Linked DNA regions of Arabidopsis thaliana. The protein of the gene in region 1 interacts with the protein of each later gene in a pairwise test. Each region holds a gene or a part of one and is shown in the gene's direction. Other genes may lie near its edges.

Region 1 (4,147 bases):
TTTTTCTCATGAACCTAAAAAAATAAGACAATGATTCAGAGAAGAGACTCATATTTTCAAGACTTAGATTGTTTGTGAAAGCAAGAACATAAAAGATTTACCTCAACTGAAGTAGTGTTGGATGAGAGAAGAGAAATATGCATGACTACGAAACAAAGAAGGCTGAGAACGAACGCAAAGTTAAGAACTGCATCAAGGGGATAGAATCTGTAAGAAACATAAAGACGGAAAATGAGACCCAGAAAAAAGCTAAGCACTTTCTGGGAAAAGGAAAACGAGAAAAAGAACCGTTTATACTCACCGAATGCCAGAACGAGAGAGGCCAGTTTACCCGGAGAAGAAGAATGCTTTATAGCTTGGCTGAAGAATTCAATGAAACTAGGAAGCAAGACAATAACATCCAACATTGTCTCAAGAAAAGTATAGAACTACAAATTAAAAAAAGAGGGTGAAGAAATCAGCAAATCAAATAATCCCAATGCTCGCTTAAACCTTTTAAGAACCATAAGAGACTACAATGGAAATGAATATTTACCAGAAAGAGAAGGAAAAACTTGTAATTGCGTGCTCCAACACAGTTTACAATCCAAACACAATGATGATCCATCTTAAGAACACATCTTTGACCTACATAAGGAAACAAAGAACCGAATAAAGCTTTCTTTCTCTATCAGTAGAAACACAAGCAGAACATAGTATAAACAAATCAGATTTCGCCTTACACACAGAACAATGATGGCAACGAGGCGGCTTAACATTCCGGCATTTGGTACAGTAACCTAAAGAGCCAAAAGCTCCTTGATCTGTCGAAGTACCAGCCTCCAAACTGTCACCACCTCCCATTTCTCTTCTGAAATGCTCAGGAACAGAACCTGGGTCTGTAAAAACTGTTGTGAAGTAGCTCCACAACAGCATTATCAGCTGCAAAGAACCAAGCAAATCAGAAGTATAATTGTAAACCTAAACTCAGGGAGCCTAAACATTTACTAACAATCAATGGTCTAAACAATGATTATGTATCTACACTGCTTCATGCTTCATAACTACATTGCATTTCTCATTCTCTTGGCTACATAAGTTTCATGCCACATCCCTAAGTTTAAGGTTTAGGGGTTAAGTAGCAGAAAACCTAGACTTACAATTCCAGAAACAAAACCTAATCTGAAATTATGAGACTTGGAAATTACCAGGAAATGGAAAACAAAGATGATTAAGGCAGCGAGGGCGGATAAAGCTCCATGGTCTCCGCGGATCAAGATCGGCCACCATGTGCTAACTACGACGGCGTAGTAAGATACACCAACGACGGCGACGACAAGAAGGATCATGAAATAGCCGAGGACTTTCAGACCGGAGCAGAACCGGAAAAGGTTCATCTCCAGCCTGGTCAAAGGGAGAATCCGGACAATTCTTCGAGTCCGAGCCGGGAACAACCGCCGTAAAATATCCGGAGCCACGGTGAGGGATCGGAGTTTGCTTGGTTCGGAGGACAACGACGAATCGCCGTCGTGGAGCTGATATTGATACAGATTTAAAGTAACCTTCTTCTTGACACAGAAGCTTTCATAATTCTTTATAAGGCCCATTAACAGGCCCAATAAATAATAACAGCTACAAATGTTGTCTTTTTTTGGTTATCGTAGAGCTGACGAAAAATCAGACAAGGTGCCACGTGTACATTCGGTGGGGGAGACAAATTAATTGGTTGGGGGACTTTTTTGTCCTACGATTTCCCAGAAACCTCGTCGGCGAAATTCAAACAAATCAAAAGTCTTAAATTTAAGGATAATCCAAAATATTCGTTTGTTGAATATTTTTGCATCAGTTTGTTTTGCATTGGGCTCTTAAACCAATTCTATCACTCAGAATTATTGTTTTGTAATAATCGTGAGAAGAAACTTTAGGGTTTCACTGTTTCAGAGTTTTGATTGGTGAATTATAAAAGATGCAGCAATCTCCACAGATGATTCCGATGGTTCTTCCTTCATTTCCGCCCACCAATAATATCACCACCGAACAGATCCAAAAGGTTACTACTTTACTTTCTATATTTTTTGTCTTTCTGTTGTTTAGTCATAATGTCTGTTTATCGTAGCTTTGAAATTGGTTGTGTAATGATGTTTTTGAGTAGTTTAAACTGTTGTAATGAACTTTCCTTCTTGAGTATGATTTGTTTTAAAGTGTCATTGTTTTCCGCTTTAACTTTTTTTTGTTACTGGAATTGGATGTACAATCATGAGTTTGGAGTTTTTTTTTGAGTGAAAACAGAGTATTTGTATGCATATGAGATTTGAAAGCTTAAAATCAGATTGTGAAGATGACATGTTGACACAGTGAGTCACTTATTGCTGCTTCTTGCAGTATCTTGATGAGAACAAGAAGCTGATAATGGCGATCTTGGAAAATCAGAACCTCGGTAAACTTGCAGAATGTGCTCAGTAAGTGTGGGATTCTCGATACCAAGACCGAGCTATGTTAGCTTTACTGATGGTAAATAGAATATTAATAATAAAACATGGTTCTTGCTTGATTCTTTTAGGTATCAAGCTCTTCTCCAGAAGAATTTGATGTATCTCGCTGCAATTGCGGATGCTCAACCTCAGCCACCAGCAGCTACACTAACATCAGGAGCCATGACTCCCCAAGCAGTAAGTTTCTGTTTTGATCAGTTGAAAAACAAAACATTTTGGTTCTTATAGTTTGTGTGTGTTTGGTTTCTGTAGATGGCTCCTAATCCGTCATCAATGCAGCCACCACCAAGCTACTTCATGCAGCAACATCAAGCTGTGGGAATGGCTCAACAAATACCTCCTGGGATTTTCCCTCCTAGAGGTCCATTGCAATTTGGTAGCCCGCATCAGTTTCTGGATCCGCAGCAACAGTTACATCAACAAGCTATGCAAGGGCACATGGGGATTAGACCAATGGGTTTGAATAATAACAACGGACTGCAACATCAAATGCACCACCATGAAACTGCTCTTGCCGCAAACAATGGTAATATTTGGTTTTACAGCAGTTTGGAACTTATTATCACATTACTGATTTTCACCTTCTTTCTCTACCAAAAGCGGGTCCTAACGATGCTAGTGGAGGAGGTAAACCGGATGGGACCAATATGAGCCAGAGTGGAGCTGATGGGCAAGGTGGCTCAGCCGCTAGACATGGCGGTGGTGATGCAAAAACTGAAGGAAAATGAAATAGAGGAAGAATAAGTGATGCTTCTTGTTGATATCAATTAGGTTCTACCTTTCATTTTTACTTTCTTCACGATGATATAAAAAAAAGGTTTTGTCATTTTATGAGTTAGTCTCTGTTAAAAGGGTTCTGAGACAGTTGAGTTTCAGTTCCTAGATGGATGTGGAATGGTTCACATTCACATGTACAATGTTAAATGTTGTTGTATGGTATTAGTGTCACCGGTTCAATTTGGTGTATGAACCGGGTTTAGAATCACGTTTACCTGATAGTTTGCCTCCAGGTTTGTGTGATAATTAATTCCAAGGCTTGAGATGAAAAGTAACAGTTTTAAAAATGTTTACAGAATCAGCGATAACAAAATTCCAAACCAAACAAACCAATAATGTCTTAGAAGTTTTTCTTTTTGGCTCGATTTCATTTATCGTCAAAATCAACAAACCTTACAAAAGTTATGCATCGGGGAAAAGCTTGATCCGAATAATGTGTTACGCATCAACACAAATTATTACTATAACCAGCTAGAGCAATCAGCCGATCCTCAAATCAAACACAAAAGAGCAGATATTCGAAAATGAATCCATAACGAATGAGAACGATGCACGAGAAGGCATCAAAAGTTATTCAGGACGTGACTTGACGATGAAATTCTGGCGACTGATAGGGTTCATGACGACGGGAGGACCAGCAACTCTTGGCCATGCTTGTAATCTCTCTTCAGTCGCAGCACCCCATTCCTTGTTAGTAATAGTTCCTGGTGTAGTACCTGAGAGTTCAAAACAAACCAAACCAAATTTAGCTTTCTGGATACATCATAAGTAGCTTTATAAGGTTTAAAACTTGCCTCCAAAAAGCTTATCATCAGAAATAACTTTGTCACACACGTAAGCTACTACCGCAGATCCCGCAAGGGCACCGATAATGTATGTAGCTCTCGACATCCTTAACC
Region 2 (5,096 bases), on another chromosome or scaffold:
TCTACTCGAAACCAAACTGAATTTCTGTTTAGTAGTAGTAGCTAGTGATGGGAGTGTAACATTATTGTATTTTTGAGTAATAATAAATTTTCTTTTGAATGAAAAAATAACAAAATAGTTTGTTAATTTTATCAAATGTATATTCTTAATCCCATAAATAATCTAATAGAGCAAAAACTTGCAGTTTATACCTTTAAGGTTTTGAATTCTTATAATAAAACGTTTAGTTGTCAATATTGCTACTTTTAACCTTTAAATGGTTATTGTGTTCAGGGTTCCACAAAATTAACTGACAAATTGATTATGTTAACAAAAGATATTCATTTTTGTTATAAATATTGATATGACTCTAATAATTATTTTTCTTTTAGTAAACTTTTAATATCTATTAAATTTTATATTTATGACTAATAAGATATTTGATAAAAAAAAATCATAAGATATTTTATAAATCAACAAAAATATAAAAACATTTTTGTTTTGGGTAATAATTATATTTTAAACTGTTAATAAAAATTCCATTACTAATAAAAAAATATTCTAATATAAGTTAACAGTATTTTTTGTTTTTACGTTGTCAACTTAACGTAGTAAATATTTCTATTGTTTAATTCCAAACCATTAGCTATTAGCTTAAAGGCAAGTGTTTTTTTTCTTCTTCTGTTTGTCTTAGAAAGAACTAGTATGGTTTGGGTTCATATGAGGTGGGTATCAGGTTATCACGTGCATGGTTTTAGTATAGTTTGGATCCAGCTCCCATCCTAGACTTCTAGGCACCTTTAATATTTGATTACGACGAAAAGGCTTATGTGAATCGAAAAGCCCAACTTCTTAATTTCAAAGCAAATTAAAAAAAAAAAAATCATTTTAACCTTTTTGGAAAATAGAAAGGTAAGGTGAATTTGAATTTCTGAACATTTGATACGAATGCAAAACTCAAGATGCACATTTTTCAAAGTAATGCCCCTAGAATTGTTTGCAAAATCTGCTGTCTAAAATTTTTTTGCTAGGATCGAACCGATTTTCGATTGGGATAGACACGAATTATAAATCATATTCTAATATCATATTAGATTATAGACTTCCGATTCAAAACTTATTGGCAAAAAATGAACTGACTCATATAATTTATATAACCATTAAAATCTTATCTAATTTCTGATTTAAGGTTTCAAATACAAATTATTCATAACCTAATTGATATGAGTTTCACTAGCGATGAATATGATGTACTTATGTACTTATGTTACATAAGGGATAAGGCCATTTGAAAAAAAAAAGTTGTAATAAAACTTAAACCCAAGAGATAGGATTGAAAAACATAAATGGCCCATGTAACTATAATCAGCTGGGGTACATTGGAGAACACCATTAGACAGTCCAAATACAATTGGGAACCACGTGAATCTGATAGATATTTGATACTCAACTCAATACTATATTTATTATTTCAATACGACAATCTCATTCTCTAACTTCTTTCATACTAAAATCTCACTTAAAGTATACCCCATCTTTCCCTTTGCAACGTTTGGTAAAAATGCATACCATAACAAATTTTAGAGCAAAAAGCAAAAAGCAAATGAAAATTCCTTTCTTAGGGTTTGAAGTTGAAACTAGAGAGACATGTCTCACGTGGTGTCCACATGTCTTTTATCTTAAAAAGTTCATTGTTTGCTTCCTCTATAATTATTTTTCTCATATCACAAAAGTAACCACAAAATTATTAAAATCTTAAATAATACATAAATCAAAATAAAATCATACGTAGAGCATCTGATTATAGTTTTCATTTCTTTGTAGTAACATGTCCGAGATCTTGATTGTGTTTTCGGTACCATTCTTTGTCTCCACCCAAAGCTATATCATATCTCTCACTCCCACAATTATTACTTTTTGTTATTATTAAATAATAAATATCCTTTCTCCAAAATAATAAAAATAATATCTAGAGTATAAAATAAAATAAAAAAACTTAGCCTCGTTCTTCTCCCTCTGTCTCTCTCTCTCTCTCGGTTCTCTTCTTCACTGAGCTCAAAGCGATTACCTCCCATGGGAAAAATCTCTGAAGTGATTATTTAGCACTACTTTTTCTTTGTCTCCTTCTGAATCCATTTTTTATGGATCTTGGAGTTCGTGTTTCTGGTCATGAAACCGTTTCTTCTCCGGGTCAAACTGAACTCGGATCTGGTTTCAGTAACAAGCAAGAAAGATCCGGTTTCGATGGTGAAGATTGCTGGAGAAGTTCAAAGCTCTCACGAACATCAACTGATGGATTCTCTTCTTCCCCTGCCTCTGCTAAAACGCTGTCGTTTCATCAAGGCATCCCTTTACTGAGATCTACCACTATTAATGATCCTCGTAAAGGACAAGAACACATGCTTAGCTTCTCTTCTGCTTCAGGCAAATCAGATGTCTCACCTTATCTTCAGTACTGTAGAAACTCAGGTCTGAACTGTAAAAACAACTAAAGTACTCTGCTTTTTTTTTTTACTTTCTTGAAAATCAGTATATGGCTTTTGCTTAGAGTTAGATTACAGAAATGGGTTTTGATTAGAGTTTGATTTAGTGAAGTCTTGATTTTGGAATATTGGTTTTGTTGTGGTGTCAGGATATGGTTTAGGAGGAATGATGAACACAAGCAACATGCATGGAAACTTGTTGACAGGAGTAAAAGGACCTTTTTCATTGACTCAGTGGGCAGAGCTAGAGCAACAGGCGTTGATCTATAAGTATATCACAGCCAATGTCCCTGTTCCATCTAGTTTACTTCTCTCTCTCAAGAAATCTTTTTTCCCTTATGGTTCCTTGCCTCCTAATTCTTGTAAGTTCTCTTCCTTATCTTTTGTTTTCAAAGATTTGAGATTATTGATCAATAGTTTTGATTCCTTTTATCTCCAATACATTAGCCAAGAATTAACTTTATACTATCTTTTTTAGTGTATAGTCCTTTGGAACATTGAATCTTGTATGGATTGGTGGTGGGTTTATTAAAGATTCTTGCTTTGTTAGGGGAATGGTGTTTTTATGAGATCTTGAGAGATTTTTTTGTTTTGTGTGATTATGAAGTTGGATGGGGCTCTTTTCATCTGGGCTTTTCCGGTGGTAACATGGATCCCGAGCCAGGGAGATGTCGCCGGACAGATGGAAAGAAATGGCGGTGCTCGAGGGACGCTGTTCCCGATCAAAAGTACTGTGAACGACATATTAACAGAGGCCGCCATCGTTCAAGAAAGCCTGTGGAAGGCCAAAATGGCCACAATACTAATGCTGCCGCCGCTGCTTCTGCTGCTGCCGCTTCTACCGCTGCTGCTGTGTCCAAAGCGGCAGCGGGGACTTCAGCTGTTGCGATGCGTGGATCAGATAATAACAATAGCCTTGCCGCTGCTGTTGGAACACAACATCATACCAATAATCAATCTACAGATTCTTTGGCTAACAGGTGAAAACGTTTAACATCTCTTGCCTTTTTGATATAACTTATCTGCATATTCTTAAGTTTTTAATGTTCATACCTTTTTCAACTTTTAAATACTTCTTTGCCCTATGAGTAAGTAGTAGACCCACCAATTCATTATTACTACATCTTTTATGATTGTGACCACTCCTTATTAATATGAGGCTTAGGATTCCATATATTTGGATTTTTTTGCTTTAATGAACTGTTTACTCTCCTTTTCTTGATGATTCAATGATGTAACAAATTAACAAGAAATCTTAATGGTTGTTTGTTGCATTGCAGAGTTCAAAATTCTCGAGGGGCTTCGGTTTTTCCTGCCACGATGAACTTACAGTCGAAGGAAACTCATCCGAAACAAAGCAATAATCCCTTTGAATTCGGACTCATCTCTTCTGATTCGTTACTTAATCCGTCGCATAAACAAGCCTCGTATGCAACCTCTTCCAAAGGCTTTGGATCGTATCTTGACTTCGGCAACCAAGCCAAGCACGCGGGGAATCACAACAATGTCGATTCTTGGCCCGAAGAGCTGAAATCGGATTGGACTCAGCTCTCAATGTCAATCCCTATGGCTCCATCTTCCCCTGTTCAAGATAAACTTGCACTCTCACCTTTAAGGTTATCGCGTGAGTTTGACCCCGCGATCCACATGGGATTAGGCGTCAACACCGAGTTTCTTGACCCCGGGAAAAAGACGAATAACTGGATACCAATCTCCTGGGGTAATAACAACTCCATGGGAGGTCCACTCGGCGAGGTACTAAACAGCACGACCAATAGTCCCAAGTTTGGTTCCTCTCCAACAGGCGTCTTGCAAAAGTCGACATTTGGTTCTCTTTCTAACAGCAGCTCGGCAAGCAGCACCATCATTGGCGATAACAACAATAAGAACGGTGATGGAAAAGATCCGCTTGGCCCGACCACGCTGATGAATACTTCTGCTACTGCTCCTTCTCTGTGAAACTGAAAAAAAAAAACTAAGGACAATTGCGAAAACAAAAACACTCTGTTTTTCTCTGTTTCTGGTTTTTCTTACTTGATGCATTGTTGTTTCTGTTGCTGTTTTCTTTCTATATAAAGCAAGAAGAAACTAAAGGAGAGATGTGTGTTTTTTTCTTCATAATCTTTGTTCTTTGTTTTTCCTCTTATTTGTTCTCAATCATCAAATTCTTGATTTTATTGTTCCTCTTATAGCCGTTGAGCTAAATCCCTGGTTTTAAGAAGTCTATGTACACAATGTTCTAAAACTGAAAAATATACAAATTTTTACTTTTTTCACTAACCACAAAATTAAAACCAAGTGTTAGTGTCACAAAATTTGTGATCCTTGAGAGATTTTGACGAGAGGTTTCCTAGTTGCAGACAAGAGGCAACATTGTTTGTGGATTGGACATAGAACACTTCTTCAAAACAACTGTCTCCAACTTTAGTTTTTTTTTTTTTTTTTTTGGGTTCTGTTTCTCCACTTTTGGGTCCCTGTAACTACTTTTTGCTCTTCTCTCTCTAACCCTACCTTTCACTTATTCCTGTTTTTGTTTTTCTTCAAGAAAAAATGAAATTGATTATAAAGAGTGGAGGAGGACCAATCTCTCAATGTATGGATGGTCCATAACGTTTTTAATTTGGATTTTTTTGT
Region 3 (4,411 bases), on another chromosome or scaffold:
CGTAGTAATCGAGGAGGACGAGGAGGCTTAAAGCGCTTTTAATAACGGAGAGTGGATGTTTTCCGGCGAGAGCAGACATTGCGCCATTGTTAAGGACGAGAACTGTAATCGTCGTGCGGCTGTTGATCTCGTCGGCGAGCTTCGTCTGAGAAAGGTAGCTGTTGAAGGAAGAGTAATCTGGAGAATCAGCGAGGATTTGAGTGATGTTGTGGCTACTCACGGTGGAAGCAAAGGCGAGGAGGGAGAAAGTGAAGGCGAGGAGTGAGAATGTCTGTGACGCCGCCATGATGAGACGGTTTTGAGTTTTTTCAAGTGTCAGTGTGGAGCAGAGGAAGTGGAGAAGACTGAGTGAGAAGAGAGATGAAGTTAAAAGAGAAGGATGATTGTTAACCACGGTTAAATTTTGATCATGGTTAGGTTAGAGTATTTGACTAGAGTTAATTTTGCCTTTATATTTTTGAAATGTGTGTTGTTTATAAGAAGTGAGTTGGGTTGGATTGGGGCCATGTGTTCTTTTTCGGACATAGCTGGAAGAAGAAAAGAGGCCATTCCATTTAATTGTCTTGTTGTTTATATTACACCAAAAAATTAGAGATTTGGGCTTCTTTTTACTCTTAGATATTTGTTTGGCCTAAATAAAACACTGGAGATTGTTTCTCGTTTTCTTCATCTAAATTGATCAATAGTGTCGAGTTTTATATGTGGTGGTCAGTGTATTCAGTAATGCTATCTATTTTGTTATCGAAAATGTTTTATATACCATAAATTGTTTGTGGATTGGTGTAGTGACCAATACAATATGTATCTTACTCAACAATGATTCAAACCTGACATTTCGTATAGTAGAAAACAATATATAAAGACCAATACATATAAATATAAAAGTATTGATATTATGTAATCATCTACAGTATAATATGTATGATTCAAATTCTATATATTTATTTCGGTTGCCGACGTTCATGTTCTACATATAAATAGAATTATCCACAATTCGGTGAGGACCAATATTGAATCACTGCTTCCCATTATAGGAATTTTTAGAGCTGTTAAAGCATTACTTTACACGTGTGGACAATATTTAAAAAACCACTAGTGAGTGAGTATATGATACAAGCATTACATGATCAAACTTTCCTTATATACTATAAATAAAAATAAAGTATTTTGCTCTGTTTTTATTTTCCTGCCTACTGAAAAATATAGATTTTAGAAATACAAAAATGTGACCAAGATGAAAAGGCATCAGGTGAAAGAGAAATGTTATAAGTAAAGGCCAATGAGAAGCAACAAATTTTGAATCATTAAAGCAAAAAAAAAAAAAAAAAGAAGAAGAGTAGAGCCCAACTTAATGGAGTAGTAGTAATGGGCCTTTTATGATAAGATGGGCCCATATAGAGGAATAAGAACGTGGAGATGTAATGATGTATAGTGGAGCAGCTGGACAGAGGAGTTAACAGTCTCTCTGTGGCATTGTTTAAAGAGGGAAACTCAACTTTTTTTATTGTCCGAAAAGTATTCAAATAAGGCTGAAAAACGCTGACGCATTTGTCAGAAACCTGACAACTGCCTTTAAATCTCTTCACACTCGCCTCTTCGTCTTTCCTCTGTTTTTCTTTTACTCTTTCTCTCTCTATTGAACAGTAGCGAGCAGAGCAAGAGATTTTAGTATCTGTTTGGTTTTGTTGTTAAAGCTTTTTCTTCTTGGGAGGTGGGTTTTTGCTTCTCTGTGTCGCTAGTTTCAAAAGCTGTCTCCTTTTTCTTGGAATTGAATAAAGCTTCCCCAAAAATCCAATTTTTGTTATGAAGATGCAGAGCCCTAAAATGGAGCAGGAGGAGGTTGAGGAGGAGAGGATGAGGAATAAGTGGCCGTGGATGAAGGCGGCGCAGTTAATGGAGTTTCGGATGCAAGCTTTGGTGTATAGATACATAGAGGCTGGTCTCCGTGTGCCTCATCATCTCGTGGTGCCTATTTGGAACAGTCTTGCTCTCTCTTCTTCCTCCAATTACAACTATCACTCTTCTTCTCGTAAGTAATTTGACATTCGAGTTTTCTTTTCAAGAAATTCTTAGGAGTATATGCGTGATAGTTGAGCTAGGGTAAGAAAAAGACACAATTTAGAAGATTTTAGACAACATAACGACAAGTCTTGGACCTCAGAATCTAGAGAAGTTTATGTTCTGATTCAACAGTTGTAAAGTTTGGGGTATTGTTGTGGAAATGCTTGATGGGTTTTATTGTGCTTATTTAACTTCCTGAACATGTTTTTGGCTTTTGGGTTCTGAGTTGGAGAAGTTAAAAGATTTACATACACAACAAACTTCTGTTGACTGAATTTGATTTTGTGCCTATTGGGGATTGAGTTGCAGTGTTGAGTAACAAGGGAGTAACCCATATCGACACGTTGGAAACTGAACCAACTAGGTGCAGGAGAACAGATGGGAAGAAATGGCGCTGTAGCAACACGGTCCTTCTATTCGAGAAGTACTGTGAACGGCACATGCATAGAGGTCGTAAACGTTCAAGAAAGCTTGTGGAATCTTCTTCTGAGGTTGCTTCATCATCAACCAAATACGACAACACTTATGGTTTGGATAGGTATAACGAGAGTCAGAGTCATCTTCATGGGACAATCTCGGGTTCTAGTAATGCGCAGGTAGTTACCATTGCTTCACTGCCTAGTGCCAGATCCTGTGAAAATGTCATTCGTCCGTCTTTAGTGATCTCTGAATTCACAAACAAAAGTGTGAGTCACGGCAGAAAGAACATGGAGATGAGTTATGATGACTTTATTAATGAAAAAGAGGCGAGTATGTGTGTTGGAGTTGTTCCTCTTCAAGGTATCATGATACCATCATACTCACAACAGAAAAATATCTATAGAATTCATTTCTTCATTGCTCCATGGATTGACCAGGTTCCATTATTTCATTACTAGGTGATGAGAGCAAACCTTCGGTTCAAAAGTTCTTCCCTGAGGTATCTGATAAATGCTTAGAAGCTGCAAAATTCTCAAGCAACAGGAAGAATGATATAATTGCAAGAAGCAGAGAATGGAAGAATATGAATGTTAATGGTGGTTTGTTTCATGGTATCCACTTTTCTCCAGACACTGTTCTTCAAGGTATTTTACCTTTGCAACCTTGGCTTATCGTCATTTCATAGGGATTTTCAGACATGACCTTCTGGGTCTTATATCTTGCTTCTTCGTTGTAGAACGTGGTTGTTTTCGTTTACAAGGAGTTGAAACAGACAATGAACCAGGAAGGTGCCGAAGAACAGATGGGAAGAAGTGGAGATGCAGCAAAGATGTTTTGTCTGGTCAGAAGTACTGCGATAAGCACATGCATAGAGGTATGAAGAAGAAGCATCCAGTTGATACTACTAACTCACATGAGAATGCCGGGTTTAGCCCGTTAACCGTGGAAACAGCTGTTAGATCGGTTGTGCCTTGCAAAGATGGAGATGACCAGAAGCATTCTGTTTCAGTCATGGGAATTACACTGCCCCGAGTTTCTGATGAGAAGAGCACTAGCAGTTGCAGTACCGACACTACCATTACTGACACAGCTTTAAGGGGTGAAGACGACGATGAGGAGTACTTGTCTTTGTTTTCACCAGGTGTTTAGAAACATAGAAATGTTGTCGAGGTTCAAATGATGTTTTTAGTTTCAATCTAAGGATCTTTCTGTGTTAGATGTTAGAAGAAGTCAAATCACAAAAAAATATCGAGACACGAATTTTAGCTAAGATTATATTGTGCTGAAATGAGATAATATATCACATGGAAAGTGCTTTTGCTAAACTTCTAAGACATTAGTCTCATAACATTAAATTACATATAAGCTACTTGTCCTGACTCCTGAGATTGGGAGAGAATACATCAAATATCAATTGAGGCACACACACCTTTCGGATCTGCGTTCTTGACAATCCATGGATGTTGCATGATCTTCTCAATAGAGAGTCGTTTGGAGGGATCCTTAACAAGAAGCTGCAAAAGATTTAAAACAACTATATGTTAATGCTTAATAACTAGTCAAGCAAGAGAGTCGTTGTGGGTATGCTTTAGCTTGGTTGGGTGTGTACCTGACTGATAAGATTTTTGGCTTCTTCTGAAACATTCGGTGTAAGAGGAAAACTCAGATCAATCTTAAGAATTCTGCATGACAGTGAATACAAAACGTCATCAGGAGCTGAGCTTCTGTAATTTTCTACAAAAGATAAAAAGTCTAGTCTTTTCTTACCTCTTGAATGTATCTTTTTGACTCTCGGCTTCGAATGGAGGGTTACCGTAGAGAAACTCGTAACACAGTATGCCTAAGGTCCAGTTATCAACTGCATAATCATGATCTCTATTTTCTACCATCTCAGGTGCTAAGTAATCCAAGGTTCCACACATTGTTTTCC
Region 4 (4,602 bases), on another chromosome or scaffold:
CATATCATTTTCGAACCAATTTAGAAGGTGATGTATATAATCAAAAGTATTTAGGATGATGGTTTATCGCGTGAACACCATTTTGTTTAAGTACGTGGTCATCGCAAGGTAACCATCTTTATTTTCTTGGGTTGATCTTCACTAGCTATATATTAACCAATTACATATGTATTATTTTGTACTGAAGAAAGGATATAATTTGTAATCGCCAAATGATTGAATTAGTATTTGCTAATTACAAAAATTTGTAGAAATCGCGATAATTATCAACTTTTTTACTATATCCCATCATTCTACTATTACGCAATGTTATCAATTGTACTAGTTTGTTTCATCCACTATGTAAAATCATTCAAACCCTAAAGTCGATGCTCATCAGCTCATGTATATGTATGTATCATGTATATGTACATAAGATATAAAACCTTTATAGATGTGCATGTAAAAGAATGGTAGATAGTAGTAGTAGGTGTGTAAGGAGAAAGATCTAGGGGGCTTCAAAAAAAGGAGAGAAAAGGACAGAGCATGTGAAAAGAGACAGAGAAACAAACAGAGGAGTGAACAGTCTTACTCTTTTTTTTTTCTATGCACTTAATGAACCCAACCCTCTCTGTATATTTCTGATTCTTCACATGTCTTCCTCTTCTTTTTTATTCCGAAAACTTTTCTTCAGTAAAAACCAATGCCGAAAAAAATACATAATAAAAACGACAAAATATCTAACATTTTTTATATAAAAAGGACAAAAGTACTTTCACTTCACTTGCAACCAAACAAACCTAGTCCCCTTCTTTATCCAATGGTCTCTCCCCTGCTCTCTATTTCTCATCTAAACACCCTTTTCTTTCTTTCTTATTTACCATTTTGCCAACTTATGTAAAAGATGTTAAGAAGAAAATGTGAAAATTTAGTAAAAATCTCTCTTTTGTATTGTCGTCAGAAACTGTAAAATAATCTTACTCTTTTTCAAGTCAGCATATAAGTTTGGTTTCTTCTCCCGAGTCAGAGATTCGTGCAGTGATGATACAAGAAGCTTATTCCGAATTCTTTTCATAAATACTCGTATTTCCTTCTTCTTTTTTTTTTTCTTTTTTTTAACATCTATCTGTTCTTCTTGCATCTATCTGATTTTCCTCTGTCTTTTAGACAGTAATAACAGAGCTCACTAAATGTAATAAATAAAAAAATGAGCTCAATAAAAAGGTAAATGGCACTCATTTTTAGGCCATCAAGTGTTGGGATACAGCTGAAATTAAAAAGGCGTCAGCTCAAAGGAAAAAATAAATAAAAAAGATTCCCAAAAATCAATGCACTTTTATAGAAAAAAATACACATAATTTCAAAAAATACTTAAATTTTGAAAAATAAGATGAAGAAAGGATTGAGAAGAGAGGAAAGAGTAGTCAGAGAGACAGGAGCATCAAGTGCTGCAGAAGAAGCAACAGGAACACTGGGCCTGAGTCTCTTCAGATTTGCCAGTCTTTATAGGACCACACTCTTCTTCTTCATCCCCCTTACATACATTTTATCTATTTTTACATTTTACAATATTGGATATTTTAATGTTGTTTTGATTTTACACTACATGGCAAAACTCCTTAAAAGCTCTTGTCCTGATGTGATTCTTTTTTCTTTTCAACACTGTCTAAATATCTCTCTCTTCTTTGTGATCACTCTTTGATTTATTAACTTTCTGATTACCATTCCCCCCAAAATAAACCCTACTAGAGTGTGACTAATTGTATAGTAATCTCTATTGTGTAATAATCTTTTATCTTTCCTCAATACAAAAAAGTAGGGTATATATATAAAAGAGGGAGTGGCCTCGTGTAGAGAAAGAACCTAGCTAGTGTTCATGCAATTTGCATCTGAGGAATATATGCTTAGAAAGAGAGAGAGAGAGAGAGAGAGAGAGAGAGAGAGAGAGAGAGATATCAAACCAGAGGAAAAGAGTGACAGAGAAAGTGGTCATCTTTGTCTGTCTCTGTCCGAAACTCAGGAGCCCTAATCTCTGAATCCATCAAGAAAGCTCTTTCTCTTCCTTCTTTTATGCTTCTGAATTTGCTACATATATAAACTATCTGAAGAAAGCTAGAGAATAAGATGATGAGTCTAAGTGGAAGTAGCGGGAGAACAATAGGAAGGCCTCCATTTACACCAACACAATGGGAAGAACTGGAACATCAAGCCCTAATCTACAAGTACATGGTCTCTGGTGTTCCTGTCCCACCTGAGCTCATCTTCTCCATTAGAAGAAGCTTGGACACTTCCTTGGTCTCTAGACTCCTTCCTCACCAATCCCGTAAGCCCTATACCTATACTTAATTTTCTTTCTTTCATGTTTTCTTTTCTTGCATAAAGTTTCAATCTTTTGTTGATTCTCATGCCCCCAAAGTTTTCAGCTTTATGTGTTTTAGAGTGATTTGGTTTCTGGTTAAAGTCTCTAGCTTTTTTTTTCAACGACCACTTTTAAAAACTCAGTTTCCACAGTCTTACTTTTAATGATTTTGGAACTTAAGGTCCTAATTAGGGTTTTACATCATGATTAATTTTAGGGTTTCGTTTTAATTAAATGATGCAGTTGGATGGGGGTGTTACCAGATGGGATTTGGGAGAAAACCAGATCCAGAGCCAGGAAGATGCAGAAGAACAGATGGTAAGAAATGGAGATGCTCAAGAGAAGCTTACCCAGATTCGAAGTACTGTGAAAAACACATGCACAGAGGAAGAAACCGTGCCAGAAAATCTCTTGATCAGAATCAGACAACAACAACTCCTTTAACATCACCATCTCTCTCATTCACCAACAACAACAACCCAAGTCCCACCTTGTCTTCTTCTTCTTCCTCTAATTCCTCTTCTACTACTTATTCTGCTTCTTCTTCTTCAATGGATGCCTACAGTAACAGTAATAGGTTTGGGCTTGGTGGAAGTAGTAGTAACACTAGAGGTTATTTCAACAGCCATTCTCTTGATTATCCTTATCCTTCTACTTCACCCAAACAACAACAACAAACTCTTCATCATGCTTCCGCTTTGTCACTTCATCAAAATACTAATTCTACTTCTCAGTTCAATGTCTTAGCCTCTGCTACTGACCACAAAGACTTCAGGTTCTGTGATCTTATCTTTAGTTTCTCTTGTTGATCTTTTATGGAAACTTTTATTGATGGATTGTTTTTTGAATTCAGGTACTTTCAAGGGATTGGGGAGAGAGTTGGAGGAGTTGGGGAGAGAACGTTCTTTCCAGAAGCATCTAGAAGCTTTCAAGATTCTCCATACCATCATCACCAACAACCGTTAGCAACAGTGATGAATGATCCGTACCACCACTGTAGTACTGATCATAATAAGATTGATCATCATCACACATACTCATCCTCATCATCATCTCAACATCTTCATCATGATCATGATCATAGACAGCAACAGTGTTTTGTTTTGGGCGCCGACATGTTCAACAAACCTACAAGAAGTGTCCTTGCAAACTCATCAAGACAAGATCAAAATCAAGAAGAAGATGAGAAAGATTCATCAGAGTCGTCCAAGAAGTCTCTACATCACTTCTTTGGTGAGGACTGGGCACAGAACAAGAACAGTTCAGATTCTTGGCTTGACCTTTCTTCCCACTCAAGACTCGACACTGGTAATTAATTAATCTGCAGACGTAATCTTATGATCTATGCTAATTATTGATAGTTTCAAAATTAGTTTAAATTTATTTTCTCAGGTAGCTAATTAAGTAGAGCTGGCATCAATGATGGATCTGCACCAACACACACAACTGTGAAATGTTGAAGAAGAGTCACATTTCACATCTATTTCCGTGGAACAATGAGACAAGACACTGTTTGCAGAATCCTATATGTATTTTTTCTATCTTTTTCTATGTGTGTTAGGTCCAACAAGAAAAAGTGATCCGACAGATATATCTGTATGTGTTCTCTTGCTTTCTCAAGAAATCAGATTTTATTTTACTGTCGCTGATAGCAACAAAAGAAAACATGACTTGATTTGTGAGGGGTATCGTTATATATAATTTATTTGTTTCTTAGGATGCAAGCATCTATATAGTTTCACACATATAATCTAGATTTTTTCTAAGGCCATGTTCTGATTAACTTACTTTAAATGTAAAACATTCATGCAGAGGAATAATAGTAGACTAGGTTGCAAATTCTGTAGGGCAAAGGATACGATTATCCGCAATTAGTTAAAGTTTTATATGTAAACACAGACACAAATAATCAATTACTATCTAAATGGCTGTATGTTGAGATTATCCGCAGGTTATGAAATGACGTTACATAGGCCCAAGTCTTGAATCACGCATTTACGAAACGAGAGTATGGTCAAAACTCTACATAATATGGCAAAACATTAAACTTATTATTATAAGAAGAAGAACCATAAATTTTGTTGTCGTTTATAGAAAACAAACAATCATATACAACTTTTGGTGTATGCTTCCTTCCATGTATGTGCTCCTTTAGCAAAAGGAAAGATGGGAGAGTTAAAAGACAAAACGTCATGACTCTTGATCCATTAATCCTTTTACGTGCGTATGAGTACTTGGAATCATTGGTCATTACCAACATTAAT

Evidence for each region.
Region 2: the proteins of GIF3 (region 1) and GRF1 interact in binary tests that used the Arabidopsis thaliana proteins (3 or more experiments, as listed by UniProt).
Region 3: the proteins of GIF3 (region 1) and GRF9 interact in binary tests that used the Arabidopsis thaliana proteins (3 or more experiments, as listed by UniProt).
Region 4: the proteins of GIF3 (region 1) and GRF5 interact in binary tests that used the Arabidopsis thaliana proteins (3 or more experiments, as listed by UniProt).

The regions. Positions count from the first base shown.
Region 1 is NC_003075.7:355,730-359,876, forward strand, and holds GIF3 (GRF1-interacting factor 3), read left to right. Parts: upstream 1-1,615; 5' UTR 1,616-1,945; coding exon 1,946-2,029; intron 2,030-2,361; coding exon 2,362-2,438; intron 2,439-2,539; coding exon 2,540-2,648; intron 2,649-2,723; coding exon 2,724-2,997; coding exon of another isoform or gene 2,998-3,071; coding exon 3,072-3,199; 3' UTR 3,200-3,608; downstream 3,609-4,147. Other genes in the region: AT4G00840 (DHHC-type zinc finger family protein), read right to left, coding at 1-14, 102-187, 302-428, 536-627, 723-921, 1,188-1,376; ATOZI1 (monopolar spindle protein (DUF1138)), read right to left, coding at 3,819-3,964, 4,043-4,139. UniProt on the Arabidopsis thaliana protein: Transcription coactivator that plays a role in the regulation of cell expansion in leaf and cotyledons tissues.
Region 2 is NC_003071.7:9,726,721-9,731,816, forward strand, and holds GRF1 (growth-regulating factor 1), read left to right. Parts: upstream 1-1,759; 5' UTR 1,760-2,120; coding exon 2,121-2,448; intron 2,449-2,611; coding exon 2,612-2,824; intron 2,825-3,069; coding exon 3,070-3,442; intron 3,443-3,742; coding exon 3,743-4,421; 3' UTR 4,422-4,581; downstream 4,582-5,096. UniProt on the Arabidopsis thaliana protein: Transcription activator that plays a role in the regulation of cell expansion in leaf and cotyledons tissues.
Region 3 is NC_003071.7:18,743,774-18,748,184, forward strand, and holds GRF9 (growth-regulating factor 9), read left to right. Parts: upstream 1-1,566; 5' UTR 1,567-1,803; coding exon 1,804-2,029; intron 2,030-2,370; coding exon 2,371-2,841; intron 2,842-2,939; coding exon 2,940-3,125; coding exon of another isoform or gene 3,126-3,166; exon of another isoform or gene 3,167-3,217; coding exon 3,218-3,630; 3' UTR 3,631-3,861; downstream 3,862-4,411. Other genes in the region: FLA8 (FASCICLIN-like arabinogalactan protein 8), read right to left, coding at 1-286; AUR3 (ataurora3), read right to left, coding at 3,885-3,995, 4,091-4,163, 4,249-4,411. UniProt on the Arabidopsis thaliana protein: Transcription activator that plays a role in the regulation of cell expansion in leaf and cotyledons tissues.
Region 4 is NC_003074.8:4,606,423-4,611,024, forward strand, and holds GRF5 (growth-regulating factor 5), read left to right. Parts: upstream 1-1,653; 5' UTR 1,654-2,103; coding exon 2,104-2,302; intron 2,303-2,581; coding exon 2,582-3,113; intron 3,114-3,191; coding exon 3,192-3,646; intron 3,647-3,730; coding exon 3,731-3,738; 3' UTR 3,739-4,075; downstream 4,076-4,602. UniProt on the Arabidopsis thaliana protein: Transcription activator that plays a role in the regulation of cell expansion in leaf and cotyledons tissues.